Saccharomyces cerevisiae S288C: one gene and its partners. Changing the gene in region 1 together with any one later gene gives a genetic interaction. Each region holds a gene or a part of one and is shown in the gene's direction. Other genes may lie near its edges.

The links. A genetic interaction does not mean that the proteins touch.
Region 2: mutations in FUM1 (region 1) and ADE17 together harm fitness more than expected from each alone (negative genetic interaction), as found in Saccharomyces cerevisiae (3 studies listed by BioGRID).
Region 3: mutations in FUM1 (region 1) and QDR1 together harm fitness more than expected from each alone (negative genetic interaction), as found in Saccharomyces cerevisiae (2 studies listed by BioGRID).

What each region holds. Positions count from the first base shown.
Region 1 is NC_001148.4:45,827-49,489, forward strand, and holds FUM1 (fumarase FUM1), read left to right. Parts: upstream 1-1,509; coding exon 1,510-2,976; downstream 2,977-3,663. Other genes in the region: KEL3 (Kel3p), read right to left, coding at 1-680; YPL261C (uncharacterized protein), read right to left, coding at 3,170-3,478; CUB1 (Cub1p), read left to right, coding at 3,477-3,663. UniProt on the Saccharomyces cerevisiae protein: Catalyzes the reversible stereospecific interconversion of fumarate to L-malate.
Region 2 is NC_001145.3:506,947-511,036, reverse strand, and holds ADE17 (bifunctional phosphoribosylaminoimidazolecarboxamide formyltransferase/IMP cyclohydrolase ADE17), read left to right. Parts: upstream 1-1,756; coding exon 1,757-3,535; downstream 3,536-4,090. Other genes in the region: YMR122C (uncharacterized protein), read left to right, coding at 1-336; 60S ribosomal protein eL15 RPL15B, read left to right, coding at 689-1,303; putative ubiquitin-protein ligase ASI1, read right to left, coding at 3,830-4,090. UniProt on the Saccharomyces cerevisiae protein: Bifunctional enzyme that catalyzes the last two steps of purine biosynthesis.
Region 3 is NC_001141.2:132,754-136,663, forward strand, and holds QDR1 (multidrug transporter), read left to right. Parts: upstream 1-1,663; coding exon 1,664-3,355; downstream 3,356-3,910. Other genes in the region: QDR2 (cation transporter), read left to right, coding at 1-1,119; RPI1 (Rpi1p), read right to left, coding at 3,901-3,910. UniProt on the Saccharomyces cerevisiae protein: Multidrug resistance transporter involved in resistance and adaptation to quinidine and ketoconazole.

The sequences.
Region 1 (3,663 bases):
TTTAGGTAAGAAGTTTGACCATTCCCCAAATCTCTAAATCCACCAAATAATATGAAATAGTTTTTCCAAGCAATAATTCTATGACCTGATCTGGCGCTGGGTGAAGAGTCTCTACCGCCAAACTCCAACTTAGTGAATTTCCTTTCAACGCAGTCAAACAGCCATGTATCAGAATAGTGGTAGAATTTAGATTGTTTTGGGGACGAAAATTCACCACCGTGTAACAGTGCTATTCCGGAAGGATGCACAGCGACAGCGGCACTGGATCTGGGCAAAGGTGCATTTTGCGAAACGTATTTTTTCCAAGAGTTGTTCTTTATGGAGTATGAATACAAATCATTATAGAAATGTGTTAGTTTGGTTTCTGGATCTGTAAATTCACCACCGAAAATGAACAATTCATGTTTATTGTGTTGCGGATTTGCAAACATCAACGGATGAGTACGACAAGAGGGTTTTTCCACAGAAGTGATGTCTACATGCTCTAATTCAATTTGCTTTTTGCTAAAGCTAGAGAGAATTTCATCGAGATCTTGATCACTTTCATCATCTTCTTCGCCGTTTAAAGACTTATTCTTGTTCTTCTGAAACTTTTTCTCCTGCTTTTTTTGGTTTTTCTGATTCTTCAGTTCAGCACGTGCCTTTTTGGCCTCTTTATCCTTCTTATTCTTCTTTGCCATTAATCACTTCTACGAGTCTAGTAGATCTCTTCTCCTTCCTATAAGTGGTTAATGTATTCTTCGAGAAGCTCATCATTTTTTTTTTTCATTTTTTTTTTTTTTTTCAGTTTTCTACAATTTCATCAAATCAATGGTTAAACCGGGCAGAAAAACTACCAAGCGTTACTTTTACTGATGTTAGTACTACTACCGCAGTTATTGCGACTACTACATTAACTATAACTATACAAGAAAAAAAGTAAAGAGGGCTCGTAAAGCAAAGCTTGGTATCTCCTACATAGTCAATACATAGTAGTGAGTCGCCTATAGCCATTCTGTAATGCCATTTGTTAAGACGTGTCCTTAAACCCTTCCGAATCGCCGCGGGCGACATCATAATGTCAGTACCTAATAATGGTTATTATTCGTACCCTGTGGTTAGAGAGCTATGGAAGCTAGCAGTAAATGTCTCTAGTTCTTGCTATCACTACCATATTGGAGAGGCTTCAGGCCCCTCCCCTGAGCCGATCCTCGGAATGACTACCCCGATTCCCGGAATGGGCGTTCGATGATTGGCTCTTTCCTGTAAAGCCTTTTTGCGTTTCTTATAGGCTATATATAATCTTCATCACTGTTGTAGACGTTAAACAAGCATCCAACAGGAGGCCGGACCGAACACACGGGGGAGTGACTCTAGCTCTTTCTTCTGGGATATTCATATCGTTTCTCCATTACATACAGTCATTTTTTTGCATTTTTAAATTCGTGACTTTTAGTACTGCAGCTGTTTTTTTTCTCACGTCAAGAAATTCCATAAAGTCTAACTATTAAACGGATAAGAGATACAATCATGTTGAGATTTACCAATTGTAGTTGCAAGACTTTCGTAAAATCGTCATATAAGCTTAATATAAGAAGAATGAACTCCTCGTTCAGAACTGAAACCGATGCATTTGGTGAGATACACGTGCCTGCTGATAAGTACTGGGGTGCCCAAACTCAAAGATCCTTTCAAAACTTCAAGATTGGTGGCGCTCGTGAAAGAATGCCATTGCCTTTGGTGCATGCATTTGGTGTTTTGAAGAAATCTGCCGCGATTGTGAATGAGTCTCTGGGGGGATTGGATCCCAAGATCTCCAAGGCTATTCAACAGGCCGCTGACGAAGTGGCTTCTGGTAAGCTAGACGACCACTTTCCATTGGTTGTTTTCCAAACGGGTTCCGGTACCCAGTCTAACATGAATGCTAATGAAGTTATTTCCAATCGTGCCATTGAGATCCTAGGAGGCAAGATTGGATCTAAACAAGTCCATCCAAACAATCATTGCAACCAATCTCAATCATCCAATGATACTTTCCCCACTGTCATGCATATCGCTGCCAGTTTGCAAATTCAAAACGAGTTGATACCTGAGTTGACCAATTTAAAGAACGCCCTTGAAGCCAAATCCAAGGAATTTGACCATATTGTGAAGATCGGTAGAACACACTTGCAAGATGCCACGCCTTTGACACTAGGTCAAGAGTTTTCCGGTTACGTGCAACAAGTTGAGAACGGTATCCAAAGAGTGGCACATTCTTTGAAAACATTGAGTTTCCTGGCACAAGGTGGTACTGCCGTTGGTACAGGGTTGAACACCAAGCCCGGATTCGATGTCAAGATAGCCGAGCAAATTTCCAAAGAAACTGGACTAAAGTTTCAAACCGCCCCTAATAAGTTCGAGGCTTTGGCTGCTCACGACGCCATTGTCGAATGTAGCGGTGCTCTAAACACCCTTGCTTGTTCTCTTTTCAAAATAGCGCAAGATATAAGATACTTAGGGTCCGGGCCACGTTGCGGCTACCATGAACTAATGCTGCCAGAGAATGAACCAGGTTCCTCAATCATGCCTGGTAAAGTTAACCCAACCCAAAACGAGGCATTGACTCAAGTGTGTGTGCAAGTCATGGGTAACAATGCAGCTATCACGTTTGCCGGCTCTCAAGGTCAATTCGAGTTAAATGTCTTCAAGCCAGTCATGATCGCCAATCTATTGAATTCGATCAGGTTAATTACTGATGCCGCATATTCATTTAGAGTGCACTGTGTTGAAGGTATCAAAGCCAATGAGCCTCGTATTCATGAGTTGTTGACTAAATCTTTAATGTTAGTCACCGCTTTGAACCCTAAGATCGGTTATGATGCCGCTTCCAAGGTCGCCAAGAATGCTCATAAGAAGGGCATTACCTTGAAGGAAAGTGCATTGGAATTGGGTGTATTGACTGAAAAGGAATTTGATGAATGGGTTGTTCCTGAACACATGCTAGGTCCTAAATAAACGAGCTAAATACCTAATAATATACAAGTTTTTTATGTCTTATTATATGAAGGAAAATAAGGAAGTGGAGAGAATTTGTGATTCAGCAATGGTCCCTCCGCTAAGGTCCCGCCTCTGGCCAGTTATGTCAGAAGAGGAGCATAGGCATACATTCCATTTTTGATGGCTTAATGGGGCCCATAAATTTACATCACTACATTATTATTCCTATACAAGTTATAATAAAATAGTTCATAAATGAATATTTTGCGTCATTTTTTAATTTCTTGTCGTCGGGTAAGGGACCTAGTATTACCCGCATCACGGAAAGGGGAATTTTCAGAAATGATAACGAATAAGAGAGTACACCAGAAGAGCAAATCTCTTTAAGAAGTTTAGCAGCAAATATCGGTTTAAAAACAAACAAAAGCAAAGGAAAAGAACTACTAAATCTTCGAGGACTTTCCCAATTTTTAAAACGCTGAAATTGTATTAGAAGAGAATAACTGTCTAAAAAGAGCATGTTTGCATCCGCTGGACAACAACACCCTCAAATTGTTCCTAAGGAAGAGGAATCCATATTAAACTACCTCCTTGAAGTGAGATCCTCCTTGGCTAAACTCAAGCAAAATAGGACCCAGTATTTGAACTCTAAGGATGTCCAAACTACTTACCAACACGTCTTGACCAAAGTCAGAGAGTTGGACG
Region 2 (4,090 bases), on another chromosome or scaffold:
GTTCCAGAACGCACCAACGCGTTGTTATTTGCGCAGCACAAGGGGGACGAGAGACATTCTGGCCAACGTGCATTCGACGGAAGTAAATTTCGGCTGGAGGCTAAGCGCTGCTTTACTGCAATTTGCATCATTACGGTGGCTCGCAGGGATAGATTGGGCGTACTGGTTTGTGGCAAAAACACCGCCTCCACGCTACCTTATTTGCCAGCCAACCGCATATTCAGGTTGCCAAAGGTACAGATCAGGAAAATGTTTCCCATTGGATGCGCAACTTTCCTTAGTAGGGAATATATAATCACTGCATTGCTGGTTTCGTACTGCCATCTTTGCGTTTAAAGTATAACCAAATTAATAAAGCGACTACGCCGCTATCCAAAACAGGCTCCTCCAGCTCCTTTAAGGAAACAAACGTCTTTTTTCTTTACTCTTATTTTTTGCACCGATTGCTAGAATACTTCTCCAATCTCTTCAAATGATGATACAAACATGTAGTCAGTAGAGATGTATCTGTCTTGATGCTCCATATGTCGTTACCCGGAAAACATCTTTCTTGTTCCTTTCGATACTTTTCCACGTTTTCAATTAACCGGAGCCATTGATAATTTCATTCACTCTTGAGAAGTTAGCGGCAATAGTAATCGGCGAAAGCTACCGTAAAGACAGTCACAAATTACCTACCACACAAGCAATGGGAGCCTACAAATATTTAGAAGAATTAGAAAGAAAGAAGCAATCTGATGTTTTGAGATTCTTGCAAAGAGTCAGGGTCTGGGAATACAGACAAAAAAATGTCATTCACAGAGCCGCTAGACCAACTAGACCAGACAAGGCTAGGAGACTAGGCTACAAAGCCAAGCAAGGTTTCGTTATCTACCGTGTCAGGGTTAGACGCGGTAACAGAAAGAGACCTGTTCCAAAGGGTGCTACTTACGGTAAGCCAACTAACCAAGGTGTCAATGAATTGAAATACCAAAGATCCTTGAGAGCTACCGCTGAAGAAAGAGTTGGCCGTCGTGCTGCTAACTTGAGAGTCTTGAACTCCTACTGGGTCAACCAAGACTCTACTTACAAGTACTTCGAAGTTATATTGGTTGATCCTCAACACAAGGCTATCAGAAGAGATGCTCGGTACAACTGGATCTGCAATCCCGTCCATAAGCATCGTGAAGCTAGAGGCTTGACTGCCACCGGTAAGAAATCCAGGGGTATCAACAAGGGACACAAATTCAACAACACCAAGGCCGGCAGAAGAAAGACCTGGAAAAGACAAAATACTCTGTCGTTATGGAGGTATAGAAAATGAAATAGTTAGAACCGTATATAGATCAATAATAATGCACTATGAACATTTTTTCAACCTGATTACTTCATCGTTCCTTTTCTTCGACTTATTTTTTTTTTATTATTCTTCGCTCTTTGGCAGCATACGCAATTTGAATTTGCAGTTTTTGACTCTTTTTTCCTTAGCGGAACGAACAATATTAATCATGCCAACTAAGTCATTGCAGAAGTCAACTTATCATTTATAAAGAAGATCCTACCCTACAATGTGTGTACCCTGATGTGCCCAGAAATGAATTGACTCCTCTCATAACTTGTTAATATTCGGATGTGCATATCACGTTCGGATCTATGTATATAAATGTACGCTCGTTTTAACCTTTAGTGTAGTACCTAAAATCTTTCTTACCAGCAACTAATAGCCCTTGAAGTAGTTTTGCTAGCTTGGACATCAAAGCACATATCACCATCAAATATGGCCAATTACACAAAAACCGCAATCCTATCCGTCTATGACAAGACAGGTCTACTTGATTTAGCCAGAGGCCTCATCGAGAAGAACGTTCGTATTCTCGCCTCCGGTGGTACTGCTCGTATGATTCGTGACGCTGGTTTTCCAATCGAAGACGTTTCTGCTATCACACATGCCCCAGAAATGTTGGGAGGTAGAGTGAAAACTTTACATCCTGCCGTTCATGGTGGTATCCTTGCTAGGGACATCGATAGCGATGAGAAAGACTTGAAGGAACAGCACATTGAAAAAGTCGATTATGTCGTTTGTAACCTATACCCATTCAAAGAAACTGTTGCTAAGGTGGGTGTGACTATTCCAGAAGCAGTAGAAGAAATTGATATTGGTGGTGTTACTCTATTAAGAGCAGCTGCTAAGAACCATGCTAGAGTCACTATTTTATCTGATCCAAAGGACTACTCCGAATTTTTAAGTGAATTATCCAGTAATGGTGAAATCTCTCAAGATTTGAGAAACAGATTGGCATTAAAGGCTTTCGAACACACTGCCGATTATGATGCTGCAATTTCAGATTTCTTCAGGAAACAATACTCTGAAGGTCAAGCTCAAATTACTCTACGTTATGGTGCCAATCCACACCAAAAGCCGGCTCAAGCTTACGTCAGTCAACAAGACAGTTTACCTTTCAAAGTCCTATGTGGTTCACCAGGTTACATTAATTTGTTGGATGCTCTAAATTCCTGGCCCCTGGTTAAGGAATTATCCGCCTCGTTGAATTTACCAGCAGCAGCATCGTTCAAGCATGTATCACCAGCTGGTGCCGCTGTGGGTATCCCATTGTCTGATGTTGAAAAGCAAGTTTATTTTGTTGCCGACATTGAAAACTTATCTCCCCTGGCATGTGCCTATGCTAGGGCCCGTGGTGCTGATAGAATGTCTTCCTTTGGTGATTGGATTGCTCTTTCCAACATAGTTGATGTTCCAACAGCTAAGATCATATCTAGAGAAGTTTCTGATGGTGTTATTGCCCCAGGTTATGAGCCTGAGGCGTTGGCCATTCTATCCAAGAAGAAGGGAGGTAAGTACTGCATATTACAAATTGATCCAAACTATGTTCCAGAAGCTGTCGAAAGAAGACAAGTATACGGTGTGACTTTGGAACAAAAGAGAAACGATGCCATAATCAATCAATCAACTTTCAAAGAAATTGTTTCTCAAAATAAAAATCTCACTGAACAAGCCATAATTGATTTAACGGTTGCCACCATTGCTATTAAATATACTCAATCTAATTCCGTATGTTATGCTAGAAATGGTATGGTTGTCGGATTGGGTGCAGGTCAACAATCTAGAATCCATTGTACAAGATTAGCTGGTGATAAGGCTGATAATTGGTGGTTCAGACAACACCCTAGAGTTTTGGAGATTAAATGGGCTAAAGGCGTCAAGAGACCAGAAAAATCTAATGCTATCGATTTATTCGTAACCGGCCAAATTCCAACAGAAGAACCAGAATTGTCTGAATACCAATCGAAGTTCGAGGAGATTCCAAAACCATTTACTCCAGAAGAAAGAAAGGAATGGTTGAGTAAATTAACCAACGTTTCTTTGTCATCGGATGCATTTTTCCCATTCCCAGACAATGTTTACAGAGCAGTTAAATCCGGTGTCAAATACATTGCCGCTCCATCTGGTTCTGTCATGGACAAGGTTGTATTTTCAGCTGCCGATTCATTCGATTTGGTTTACGTAGAGAACCCAATCCGTTTGTTCCACCATTAGATGGCATGAGTTCAGAGTCAATATGCCATAAATACAGAAATGACGGCAAATCGATGTATAGTTTATTCTTTCCTCCTCTAATGATATAATCGCCACTGACACTTTTATATATATACTAATGATACGATATGTTATAAGTACAATTTTAATTCGAACATTTCCCAAAGAAAAAAAACTTGATTTATTATTATGATGTTTATATGTGCAACACAGAAAGCTCTAGCTATAGTAATTAATGCTAGAGCTCCCAAACGAAAAACCTCTTTTAGATACCATGCAAAAGTTCTTAAACTATTATTTACTATCTGAAACAGGATGAACCTTACAGTACCCATGAACTTTACTCCTACAACATACGCAAGTGCTGAACCCACGTAAACCCAAAGAAATTCTGCAATCCTCGCAAATGGCAAAACATCGGCAGGGCCATAATACTGTATTTCTTTCATTGACTTTGCATACCGCGCAAGATAGATCAAAATCACTTTCTGTACCAAAAGTCTCATCTACTTCACTTAACTTTGTATCTAAGATAGACGCCCTTGTCAAAGTTTT
Region 3 (3,910 bases), on another chromosome or scaffold:
AACAGCGGAATAATGGGAGATGTTACTACTAGAGCCGAGCGCGGCGGGTACGTTGGATATGTTGCTGGATTTCAAGTTCTAGGTTCTGCGTTCGGAGCCCTTATCGGTGCCGGATTATCATCTAGATGGGGATGGAGAGCCATCTTTTGGTTCTTAGCAATTGGATCTGGCATTTGCTTCCTAGCCTCGTTTTTAATTTTGCCAGAAACAAAGAGGAACATATCCGGGAATGGTTCTGTCACCCCAAAATCATACTTAAATAGAGCTCCCATTCTTGTTTTGCCAACAGTAAGAAAATCATTGCATTTGGATAATCCAGATTACGAAACATTGGAACTGCCCACGCAACTAAATCTACTGGCGCCCTTCAAGATTTTGAAAGCTTATGAAATTTGTATACTTATGCTAGTCGCTGGATTACAATTTGCCATGTATACTACGCACCTTACGGCGTTATCCACAGCTTTGAGTAAACAATATCACTTGACTGTTGCAAAGGTAGGATTATGCTACCTTCCCTCCGGTATCTGCACATTATGTAGTATTGTCATTGCTGGAAGATATTTGAATTGGAATTACAGGCGCAGATTAAAATATTACCAAAATTGGTTGGGCAAGAAGAGATCAAAGCTTTTAGAAGAACACGACAACGACCTTAATTTGGTGCAACGTATCATAGAAAATGATCCCAAATACACCTTTAATATCTTCAAGGCGAGGTTGCAACCCGCATTTGTTACCTTGCTTTTAAGCAGTAGCGGATTTTGTGCGTACGGATGGTGCATTACTGTCAAAGCCCCTTTAGCGGCCGTTCTTTGCATGAGTGGATTTGCGTCGCTGTTTTCCAATTGCATTTTGACTTTTTCAACAACTCTAATAGTTGATCTTTTTCCCACGAAGACATCTACGGCTACGGGATGTTTAAACCTTTTCAGATGCATTCTATCTGCTGTGTTTATAGCTGCATTGAGTAAAATGGTAGAAAAAATGAAATTCGGAGGTGTTTTTACATTTTTGGGGGCTTTAACCTCCTCGTCATCGATCCTCTTATTTATTCTCTTGAGAAAAGGTAAAGAATTAGCCTTTAAGAGGAAAAAGCAAGAACTGGGAGTAAATTAAGAAGTAAAGCTTCTTGAATCAAAGGAAAATGTTCCTTTTGATCGCTCCACTACCGAGAAAGAGGAATTGGTGTGATAAGTCTTCTCAAATAGAAAGTAATAGTAAGTATTTTTTTTTTTTTAATCTGAACTCTGTAATAACTAAAATTAGAGTTAGCAGCACGATTCACTAACATAGAACGGCTAGTACTGAGTTTTGCCTTTATTATTCTCCGCCATTTTTTGCCAAGGCCGAAAATATGCTGGAGGTGCGAAATTCGGAGATTCGGGTTTCATGTTTCTGGCCCGGTTGTTAACGGACCCTTTATCTCATCTTCTGATCTTGGAGTTTCTTCTAGTTGATAAAACCATGGTGAAGCTGAAAGGTTTGAAGAATCTCTATCACTGTAGCAAAAAAATCTTCTTACAACAAAAAAAGTAAGCAAGCAATCAGCGTTCAAAGGAACTTATTCTTGCTTAAAAAAAGTGATAATCTCTTAGCACTACCATCTTCTATTAATAAAAAAATAACAGATAGCTCATGAAGAGACTTCTATAAGTAAATCATGACCAAACAACAAACTTCTGTAATGCGTAACGCATCTATAGCCAAGGAAGAACGTGAAGGATCTGATAATAATAATGTGGACAGATCCAGCTCAGATGCCATCAGTGACAACGACGCAGAAAGATCTAATTCTCATTCTGAAATAGATAACGAATCAAATTTTGATATGGTGCCTTATTCAAGGTTCAGCCATAAGCAAAAAATGCTTCTTGTCGTTCAGTGTGCCTTCACAGGCTTTTTTTCAACCGTGGCAGGGTCTATCTACTATCCAGTGCTTACTATTATTGAGAGGAAATTTAACATCACAGAAGAGTTAGCTAATGTCACTATTGTGGTTTATTTTATTTTCCAAGGGGTGGCTCCTTCAATTATGGGTGGTTTAGCTGATACATTTGGAAGGCGGCCTATTGTATTATGGGCAATCTTAGCCTACTTCTGTGCCTGCATCGGACTGGCATGTGCACATAATTACGCCCAAATCCTGGCTTTAAGGTGTTTACAGGCAGCAGGTATTTCTCCTGTTATTGCAATAAATAGCGGAATAATGGGAGATGTAACGACAAAAGTAGAGAGGGGTGGATATGTTGGATTGGTTGCAGGGTTCCAAGTTGTTGGAACTGCATTCGGTGCATTGATTGGTGCCGGATTATCCTCGAAATGGGGTTGGAGGGCAATTTTTTGGTTTTTGGCTATTGGTTCCGGAATTTGTCTAGTTTTTTCAACCTTATTGATGCCAGAGACAAAAAGAACTTTGGTGGGAAACGGCTCCGTAACACCAAGGTCATTTTTGAATAGGTCTTTGATATTGCATGTTGGTTCCGTAAAAAAAACATTACATTTAGACGATCCTGACCCTGAGACCTTAGAACCACGTACTAGCGTGGATTTTTTAGCACCTTTAAAAATTTTGCACATACGAGAAATAGACATTTTATTGTCCATTGCCGGCCTGCAATTTTCCACGTGGACCACTCATCAAACAGCCTTAACAATTGTATTGAGTAAAAAGTACAATCTATCTGTTGCAAAAATAGGCCTGTGCTTTTTACCTGCAGGAATCTCGACACTGACAAGTATTATCTCTGCTGGTCGGTACTTAAATTGGAGCTACAGAACAAGAAAGGTTAAATACAACAGATGGATTAAAGAACAAGAATTACAGCTGATGGAGAAATATAAAGGTGATAAAAACAAGGTAGCAGAACTTATTCACTCTAATTCTCATTATGCATTCAATTTAGTGGAGGCAAGGTTGCATCCAGCATTTGTGACACTTCTTCTCAGTAGCATTGGCTTTACTGCCTTTGGATGGTGTATTTCGGTGAAAACACCGCTTGCTGCTGTATTATGCACAAGTGCATTTGCAAGTTTATTTTCAAACTGTATTTTGACCTTCTCTACTACTTTGATAGTAGATCTCTTTCCGTCTAAGGCTTCTACCGCAACAGGTTGCTTAAATTTATTTAGATGTCTCCTATCCGCAATTTTCATTGCAGCACTGACCAAGATGGTCGAGAAGATGAGATATGGAGGTGTTTTTACGTTTTTGAGTGCTATAACTTCATCTTCATCGCTTTTATTATTCTATCTCCTGAAGAATGGGAAACAACTATCGTTCGATAGGATTAGGGCAAATGATAAGTCGGCTGGAAGGTCAGTTGGTAAAAATTCAGAAAAAGTTTCGACGTGAAGAAAAAAAGTCGTAAAACTAAAAAGTCTCTGCCCCCACTTTCCAGAAACAGATATCTATATTTTATAACAAAGACGTACGGCATCATTTAAAGTATCTAAAATTTCTTTGAAGAGATCACATAAAAAATTTTCACCTTCTTTTTCTCTTTTTGGCTGTCCAAGTAAACAAAACATAAACTGCTTCAACCAAAGATAAAACTTGAGAAAATCCAAAATGAACAATAAGGACATTTCTTGGTGACAGATTCGTTAAGTTTCATTATTTTTTTCACTTATTTTATAGAAAAAAATCGGATGTTGAATGGGCATAAATATAAATGTATATATAAGTAATATTGTCTTGTTTCCCTGGAGAAGTAAATGAAAAATGAAATAGCATACAAAACAGACATAAAATTTAAAACAGAAATGAAATGAGCATTTAAAATTAATTAAAAGGTGAAACGACGAATTGAAAATTATTGATGAGGGTGAAGGGAAACAGGGAATGTGCTAGAATTAAAGGGGTAGAAAATTTATGGTGGAGACTTCCCGATACATACTTTAATGTTGT